Ovis aries: one gene and its partner. The protein of the gene in region 2 purifies or fractionates together with the protein of the main gene of each other region. This does not show direct contact. Links are inferred from orthologs where the notes say so. Each region holds a gene or a part of one and is shown on either strand. Other genes may lie near its edges.

Region 1 (4,111 bases), on a different chromosome or scaffold from region 2:
GGCGACATTAAATAGTCGGACACGACTAAGCTACTGAACTGACCTGAACTGTACACACATACTTGAAGTTAGTTTTTCTTAAGCTCTTCCTGATTTGCAACGGAGCCAGGTAATCTCCAGGCGTTTTGTTTTTGGTGGGGTTTGTCAGACAAAAGGACCAACTAGAAGACATACCTTTGAGGAAACTAAATTGAGAAGCAGAAAGCTTAAGGAAGGAGGAACTTGAGAGCAAGGAATCATGCATAAAGTGACCAGTGGCCAGGGTTTCTGGCTGGCGATGACAATGGCAATTAACTTGGTTCTTTGCTCATACTCAGGGCTCCTCTCTCATTTATTTGTAATAAGCATTACTTCCTCCACGTCTTCGTCGGACACAACTGAGCGACTGAACTGAGCCTCCAGGTCTTGGCCTTAGAAATGGGCGAGGAGAAGATAAGGCCGATCCAACTATAATAACTGCAGAAAAAAGACGCTCAGGCAATTTGGAGGTGGCAAGAGCGGCATGGTGACGGTAACCTGCTGCTGCTGCTAAGTCGCTTCAGTCGTGTCCGACTCTGTGTGACCCTATAGACGGCAGTCCACCAGGCTACCCCGTCCCTGGGATTCTCCAGGCAAGAACAATGGAGTGGGTGGCCATTTCCTTCTCCAATGCATGAAAGTGAAAGTGAAGTCGCTCAGTCGTGTCCGACTCTTAGCGACCCCATGGACTGCAGCCTACCATGCTCCTCCGTCCATGGGATTTTCCAGGCAAGAGTAGTGGAGTGGGTTGCCATTGAACTGCTGCTGCTACTGCTGCTAAGTCACTTCGGTCGTGTCCGACTCTGTGCGACCCCATAGACGGCAGCCCACCAGGCTCCCCCGTCCCTGGATTCTCCAGGCAAGAACACTGGAGTGGGTTGCCATTTCCTTCTCCAATGCACGAAAGTGAAAAGTGAAAGTGAAGTCGCTCAGTCGTGTCCGACTCTTCGCGACCCCAAGGACTGCAGCCCACCAGGCGCCTCCGCCCAAGGGATTTTCCAGGCAAGAGTACTGGAGTGGGGCGCCATTGATTTCTCCTGCCATTGACCTACACACCCGGAATCCCAGGATCGCGCGCACGCGCGCCCGCCCGAGAGCCCGCCCCCGCAGCTGGCCGGGTCCCGATCCGAGCTCCGGCAGGAGGCGGGGCGGCGGCGCGCGCTCGCGGGCGGGGTGGAACCGAAGGAGCCGACGTGCGACGTTGGCGCCGCTGCGGGCGGGTGACGTGTAGGCCCGCGCCTGCTCCGCCCCCTCCCTGCTTGCCGGGTCTGTGAGTCTGTGCCGCGGTCGAGCAGTCTTCGTGGACCCTGCCCCAGGACTGGGAGGGATCCGGCTAGGCCCGCGTGGGGTGCGGACGAGGACGCGGCGGGGAAGTTGTCCTCTGGCCTTCTCTGCCCTGCCCTCCGTCCCCCTCCCGGCGTGGGAAGTAAAGATCAAACCGAAAGGGAGGGAAGCCGGAGCTGGCGGAGTGATGGGGAGCGCTTGAAGCGGGGCCGAAGGTGAGGAGGGGGACGTGGGAGGAGAAGGGCAGCCTGCGGCCCGGGGAAGCCGGCGGGAGGCGGGGCCAAGGGCGCCCCAGGTGCGCTTGTCTGTCGGTACCGGAGGCGAGCCCGGACCTGTCATTCCTCTCTGGGCCTGAGACTTTTCCGTGGTCTACGATAGTCTCGTCCTGCTCATGAAATTTGTAGGGTGGGGGGTGGGGATCAAAACATGGACACAGCCACATGTTGCCAAGGGGTTAAGGCCACAAGGTGATGACCAGATGCGTGCTTTTTTCCCCTGTGCGTGAGTAGTTTGTTTTCATTAATTTTCTTTGTTTCTTTACAAAAATGTAATAACTTTCATTTTCTTCACGTGGACTTTGGAGAGAAATCAACTTCCCAGTATTTTTTACTTTAACACTGAACAGTAAATAAACTGGATAGGGAGTGGACCATGGTGAATTGTGGGTGAATTTAGCAATCGAGGAATCTAGAATGTTATTTTGAAGAAAGTTTGTTGTATGTGCGAGCATGCTGCGATGTCGTGGGTACGTGGGCAGTTTTTTTTATTTTAAATAGGCTTCTTATCACACACTAACTTGTTCACTGATTGCAGTGTGCTCATGTATTTTGCTCTTTGGTTTAAAAGAAACGTCATTTTAGCGGTAGCTAAAAGTTTAATACGAATGGCATCACATGTGCAGTTCAAACTAGTAATCATATTTTCTTTCTTTCACTAAGTAAAATTAGACTTTGAGTAGCTGTTATCTCCATCACCACATTTCATGTTTCATAGACTGAAATCATCTTTCCGACTTTTCAAAATGTTCTTAAAAAAAAAAAAAAGTTCTTAAAAGTTGAGGATTCAGCTTTTGATTCCAGTCTGGATTGTGCTCCTGTTCATATATCTTTTATTTTTAATGGTGGTTATAATAATATTCTTGCATAAGAAAAATGCTCCTTAGAGATGCCAGTTAAGTGTAAGCTAATATTAGAGTGACTTGGGGCTTCCCTGGTGGCTCAGGCGGTAAAGCATCTGCCTGCAATGTGAGAGACCTGGGTTCGATCCCTGCGTTGGGAAGATCCCCTGGAGAATGAAATGGCAACCCACTCCAGTACTCTTGCCTGGAAAATTCCATGGATGGAGGAGCCTGGTGGCCTGGTGGGCTACAGTCCATGGGGTGGCAAAGAGTCGGACACAACTAAGCAACTTCACTTTTTTCTTTCTTTAATTTTTCATGGCTTCTCATTGTGATCCCTGCTGTATAGTTTTAGTTTTCTTTCATTCATCATTCACTTATTTATGTCTTTCTATGTGCCAGGCACTATGCTAGGCCTAGGCAGTCAAGAGAGACAGGATGTCTGTACTTAGGAAACTTTGTAGAGTTCTGCCTCCTTCTAATAGAGAATCTTGATTAGGGTTCCTCCTCATGCCACGGATATCTAGTTGACAAAAGCAAGGCTTTTTGCAAGAAAAAGTTACTGTCAGTGTTTATATATAAAGTGGCATTGAAAAGAGGAGCAGATCATTTTACTTGAACAGCATGACTTGTTTTGTTTTTGATCAAAAAGATAATATGCATGCCTGTGTTTTGCTGGTTAAGAGGAGTAAGTTTTCTTTTGGACAAGTTGGCTTAGTTATATAATTAAGAATTAGAAGTCAGTTTCTACCTGAAAAATAATACATAAACATTAAAAATGTTTTTAAAATAATTTTTCCAGTTTCTATGTTGGTCTGTTGGTCTATGTCTTAATAACTTGTAATTCATTAGAGTAATTCATAGTAGTTCTATGCACAGAGCATTTTCATCAGAAATATGTATAATACTTGTTGGCTGAAGTGAATTTATTGTCCAATAATACCTTCCATGGGGAAGTAGTTAACATAAGCCCTTTTAGTACAGAATAGTCTCGAGGTGTTGTTTTTGTTCAGTCACTAAGTTGTTTACCATTCTTTTGTGACCCCGTGGACTGCAGCATGTCAGACTTCCCTGTCTTGATGTAATGTGGCACAGTTTTCAACTTTGAACAGATGTCTACCCGAAACTGAAATTTTAGCAAACACATTTATGGAAAGAAAAAGTACTTAATTACCAAGGAGGAGAGAATAAACTATTTGTGTTTGCTCAGTTGTGTTCTACTCTTTGTGACCCCCATGCAATGTTGTCTACCAGGCTCCTGTGTCCATGGAATTTTCTAGGCAAGAATACTGGAGTAGGTTGCCATTTCTTTCACCAGGGGATCTTCCCTACCCAGGGATTGAACCCGTGTCTTCTGTATTGGCAGGCAGATTCTCTACCATTGAGCTACCTGGGAGTATGTGTTTAATAATTATCCAAAGGCAGACTTTATGTGTCTTATCTCCTACATTATACTCTAAAGTTACTTAAAATAGTTACTTATTTCTTTTGCCTGGTGTAATATCTGGCACATGGTTGACAGACCCATGTAAATGTTCATTCATTCAGTATGTACCGTCTCATTTGAGTATTTTGTGGTTAGAGGAGCAAATGAATATTTTTGAGTGAGTTTGTCTACTGTTTGTTCATTTTCCTGCTTGTGCTGGCTTATAATAATGTCTTATAGACATTTATATTTCTGAAACTCTCTGT
Region 2 (4,212 bases):
AAATCTTATCAGCAAGCCCAGCTCCGGGGCCAATCTAACCACCTCATGTCCTCTGTTCCTCACATCACTATCTATAAATACCTACTGGGCATACCTGACTAGATTTTAAGCTCTCTTCTCAGCAATGAGTCTTCTCTCTTGAATCCCCAGAGTTACCACCACACAATGTATGTGAATGACTTCAACATGAACCCAAACCATTCCCCACCCCCATCCTACATTCATACTCCCACCGTGCTCTACTAACACCACTCGCTTTTTTAAACACTTGTCTTTACTAGTCTTTCTAACTAGGCTGCAACATGGATTGACAATGTCTTATTGTTAAAGCCCTCAGAGACTAGCTGAGCCTGTCCAGAGTCCACTTACTAAATTAACAAAATAGCTGATATACTGATTCACGAAAGGACACAATTCATAAGGACTCTTACCTCCGCACAGCAAGGCCTCCTAGGAGCTTGTAACGCAGAGACTCTGCCTGGGCAATGGCACACAGTCCTCTTGTGGCTACCTTTTCAGCATAAAGCTTTAAAGAAAACAAGGCACATTCTTAAACTTGTTACACTCATCACCACCGTTTTCAACTAAAAATCAGCACATTCATGATTCAAGCAGACACCCCTCTATGTATCACTCTATTTGTTCTCATTTAGTGGATGAGTGTGCAACCCCATTGGCTACAGCCCACCAGGGTCCTCTTCTTCTCCAGGCAAGAATACTGGTGAAGGTTACCATGCCCTCCTCCAGATCTTCCTGACTCAGGGACTGAACCCGCGTCTCCTACATTGGCACGCAGATTCCTTACCAGTAAGCCACCTGGGAAGCCCTTCACTGTACTACCCAAGTATTAAAGCACTTCTAATGCCCACATCTAACAAACACTCAGGGACGCAGACTGAACTGAACCATTCCTCATTTTTCTCCCACCCCCACCTCTTTCCACAGCCAAATCATGGAGATCAATGGGCAGCCAACCTCTCCTATGTATCATTACTAATTCCAAGATAGGTATAAACTGCTGCCAACTGCTTATTAAAAGACCTTCAACAAAATACCAATCCATTTGTAATACTCACTGATCACAAGTAAGCTTTCAGGGTGATAATATGAGTTTTCAGAAGTACCATCCTAAAGAGGGCTTCCCTGGTGGCTCAGATGGTAAAGAATCCGCCTGCAATGTGGGGAGACCTGGGTTCAATCGCTTGGTTGGGAAGATCCCCTGGAGGAGGGCATGGCAACCAGCTCCAGAATTCTTGCCTGGAAGACTCCCCATGGACAGAGAAGCCTTGGGGCCATGGGGGTCACAAAGAGTTGGACACGACTGAGCGACAAAGCACAGCACAGCACCATCCTGAAGAGCCATTTCTAGCTCCAGAGTAGCCTCTGGCACAAGCCAGGATCACTCACCTCTACACTGCCTTCAGGGAAGCCGAATCTCTTCTGAACCACAGCAGTCAATTCCCGGATCCGCCGGCCCTTCTCACCAAGTACATTCTGTGTCCTGGGGAAAATGAAGAGTGACAATTCACAGCTCTCATAACATTACAGATGTAATTTTAAACCTTGCACACGTGTGGTAGTAAAAATCTAATTCATCTGACACAAGAAAGCATAAATTTTGGATGACAAGAACTAAGAGATTATCTTTTTTTTAAATGCAGCTTAAAAACTCATTCACGATGACTCAACTGTTGTTCTGCTACGTTTACAGAAGAAATCACCTTAGTGCAGACAACAATTACAGGTGATGGCCAGAAAAATGAATTTTTCACCTGGTGGCCAAGATGATGATCTCTGTCCTGGTTGGTGTAACTCGGACCTCAACTCCAGAGTACCCATCTTCGGCCAGCTCCCGAGTGAGAAACTCGTTCAGTTCAGCTTTGAAGATGCCATCAGCGACAAACTAACCAAAAGCAAAATGAAAATGAGGATCTGGACATGGGCTCAGGTTTCTAGCCCAGTCAATGCAACCCTAATCAAGATTCAACACCTCCAACCAACGACCCATCATTAATTATTTTGCCTTGTTCCAGAGAAAACATAGCAACCCTTCTCAGACAAATGCCTCTAAGTCATCTTTTGGAAGTTAACTTTGACCCAGGCCCTTAAAACTGTGCCACAGAACGCGGCACAGGGTAGGGGTCACCTGGACAAAGAGAACACCTCCAGTCAGACTCGTCATCTCCTCTTCATTGAAGGGTTTTAAATAATCAAACCGTTTCCCCCAGGTCCCTTCCCTCTATTTCCCCAGAACGTTTCCTTGACCCCAAGATAGAACAAGAAATTGTCAGTAACCTTCCAAACTGAGGTCCTTGGGGTCAGAAGCCTGCACCCAGACAAGCCTAGGAAGAAGGCAAGCGAACACTGCTACCTCCCTTTCTCAAAGCTACCATTCGATGAGGGAAAGGCTCATGCATTCAAAACATCACATTTAGTAACTTTACTAACTACTGACTAAGAAAGGCTCACAAGCGCTCCTCCACGGCAGGAGGAGCCCTCAGTGCTCATCTCTGCTCTCCGCCCGGAACCGGCAGAAATCCTTCTCTCCTATCCCAGCCATACCGTTCTCAGCAGCCACGGGCCTGCGCTCAATCCACCGCCATCCGCAGCCCACGGGAAAGCGACACAGTCCGGCCGCTGCCCCGGGCATAGCGAAGAGCTATAAGTCTCGCAATAGCACCCAGAAAGGCTCCTGACCCGCGAAACGCCACTTCCCTGCAACCGGGCCCCGGGATCTCACCTTCCTCTTTTTGGAAATTTGCACGGCCATCTTGCCGACGCGAGCCGCCGAAAGGAAAGGAAGTGGCAAGCGGGCGGAAGTGCGTATAAAGGGCGCTGTGCGACGACAAAGAACTGCGCGACGTCGACGCCTGTGAGCGCTCATGGGAAGTGTAGTTTTCACTTTGGTAAAAGGAAAGAGAAAAGCGCGGTCCAAGGGTTGATGCTTTTGAACTGTGAGGTGTTGGGGAAGAAAGGAAATCAATCCTCAGTATTCATTGGAAGGACTGATGCTGAAGCTGAAGCTCCAATACTTTGGCCATCTGATGCAAAGAGCTGACTCATTGGAAAAGACCCTGATACTGCCTTCAGAAAGACTAAAGTCAGGAGGAGAAGGGCAGGACACAAAGGATGAGACAGTTGGATGGCATCACCGACTCAATGGACATGAGTTTGAGCAAGCTCCGGGAGATGGCGATGGACAGGGAAACCCGGCGTGCTGCAGCCCATGGGGTCGCAAAGAGTTGGACACAACTGAGCGACTGAACAACAACAATATCCAGAAACCTGGGCTTTCCAGGTGGCACTAGCGGTAAAGAACCCGCCTGCAAATGGAGGAGAGAGAGTGGTGAGGGGTCGATCATAGGGATGAGGGGTCGATCTCCAGGTCAGGAAGATCCACTGGAGGAGGGCATGGCAACCCACTCCAGTTTTCTTGCCTGGAGAATCCCATAGACAGAGGAGCCAATATCTCAATCAGAGCTTTAAAAATTCAGGGAAGTTTAGAGTCCAGTTCTCATCAGTTTAATTAGAGCCCAGTTCTCATCAGTTTAAAACCAAGTATAAACACACACTTATCTGCTAACTTTATTCTTTAATGAAAAAAAGTAAAAGCACTTTTGGGCTGAAAGCCCTCAGAGAAATTCACTGAGGCACCTATCTCTTCCAATTTGTGTCCACTTCCTCTGTTGCAAACTGATAATATATATATAATATGTATTAAATATTCTAAGGACTGTTTTAGGACTTTATATTATTAATTCATTACCTCTACCTCACGTTCATAAAGTATGTTACAGCTTGTAACAGAAGTTACGATAATGGCTCGCAATTCTTTTTCAATTAAAAAAAATCTCCCCTCGCAGATTTTATTACAAAAAATTTCAAACATACAGAAAAGTTGGAAGAACTATACAGTGTACACCTATATATGCATCCCTTAGGTGCTGCAATTAACATTTTTTTCTGTATTTGCTTTATCAGATATTTATCCTTGCCTCTATCCACCCAACAGTGCATCTTTTGATACATTTCAAAGTTACTTTCAGGCATCAGGACACTTCACGCCTTAAATTTTCCCAACAGTTTTTTTTTTTTTTTTTTTCCAGTTTTACTGAGAAATAATTGACATACATCAATGTATAAGTTTAAGGCATACAACATAATGGCTTGATTCACATATCATGAAATGATTACCACAAGAGATTCAGTTAA

What was found. The genes of interacting proteins can lie anywhere in the genome.
Region 1: the proteins of RPS3 (region 2) and ASCC3 purify together in Homo sapiens (co-immunoprecipitation; 4 studies listed by BioGRID and IntAct, with this or other methods). This does not show direct contact. The link is inferred for Ovis aries from reciprocal best matches to the Homo sapiens genes RPS3 and ASCC3.

Annotation. Positions count from the first base shown.
Region 1 is NC_056061.1:36,367,691-36,371,801, forward strand, and holds the start of ASCC3 (activating signal cointegrator 1 complex subunit 3), read left to right. Parts: upstream 1-1,311; 5' UTR 1,312-1,517; intron 1,518-4,111. UniProt on the Homo sapiens protein: ATPase involved both in DNA repair and rescue of stalled ribosomes. 3'-5' DNA helicase involved in repair of alkylated DNA: promotes DNA unwinding to generate single-stranded substrate needed for ALKBH3, enabling ALKBH3 to process alkylated N3-methylcytosine (3mC) within double-stranded regions.
Region 2 is NC_056068.1:53,317,465-53,321,676, reverse strand, and holds the start of RPS3 (small ribosomal subunit protein uS3), read right to left. Parts: upstream 2,801-4,212; 5' UTR 2,771-2,800; coding exon 2,741-2,770; intron 2,199-2,740; exon of another isoform or gene 2,049-2,198; intron 1,904-2,048; coding exon 1,773-1,903; intron 1,502-1,772; coding exon 1,408-1,501; intron 527-1,407; coding exon 432-526; intron 1-431. UniProt on the Homo sapiens protein: Component of the small ribosomal subunit. The ribosome is a large ribonucleoprotein complex responsible for the synthesis of proteins in the cell. Has endonuclease activity and plays a role in repair of damaged DNA.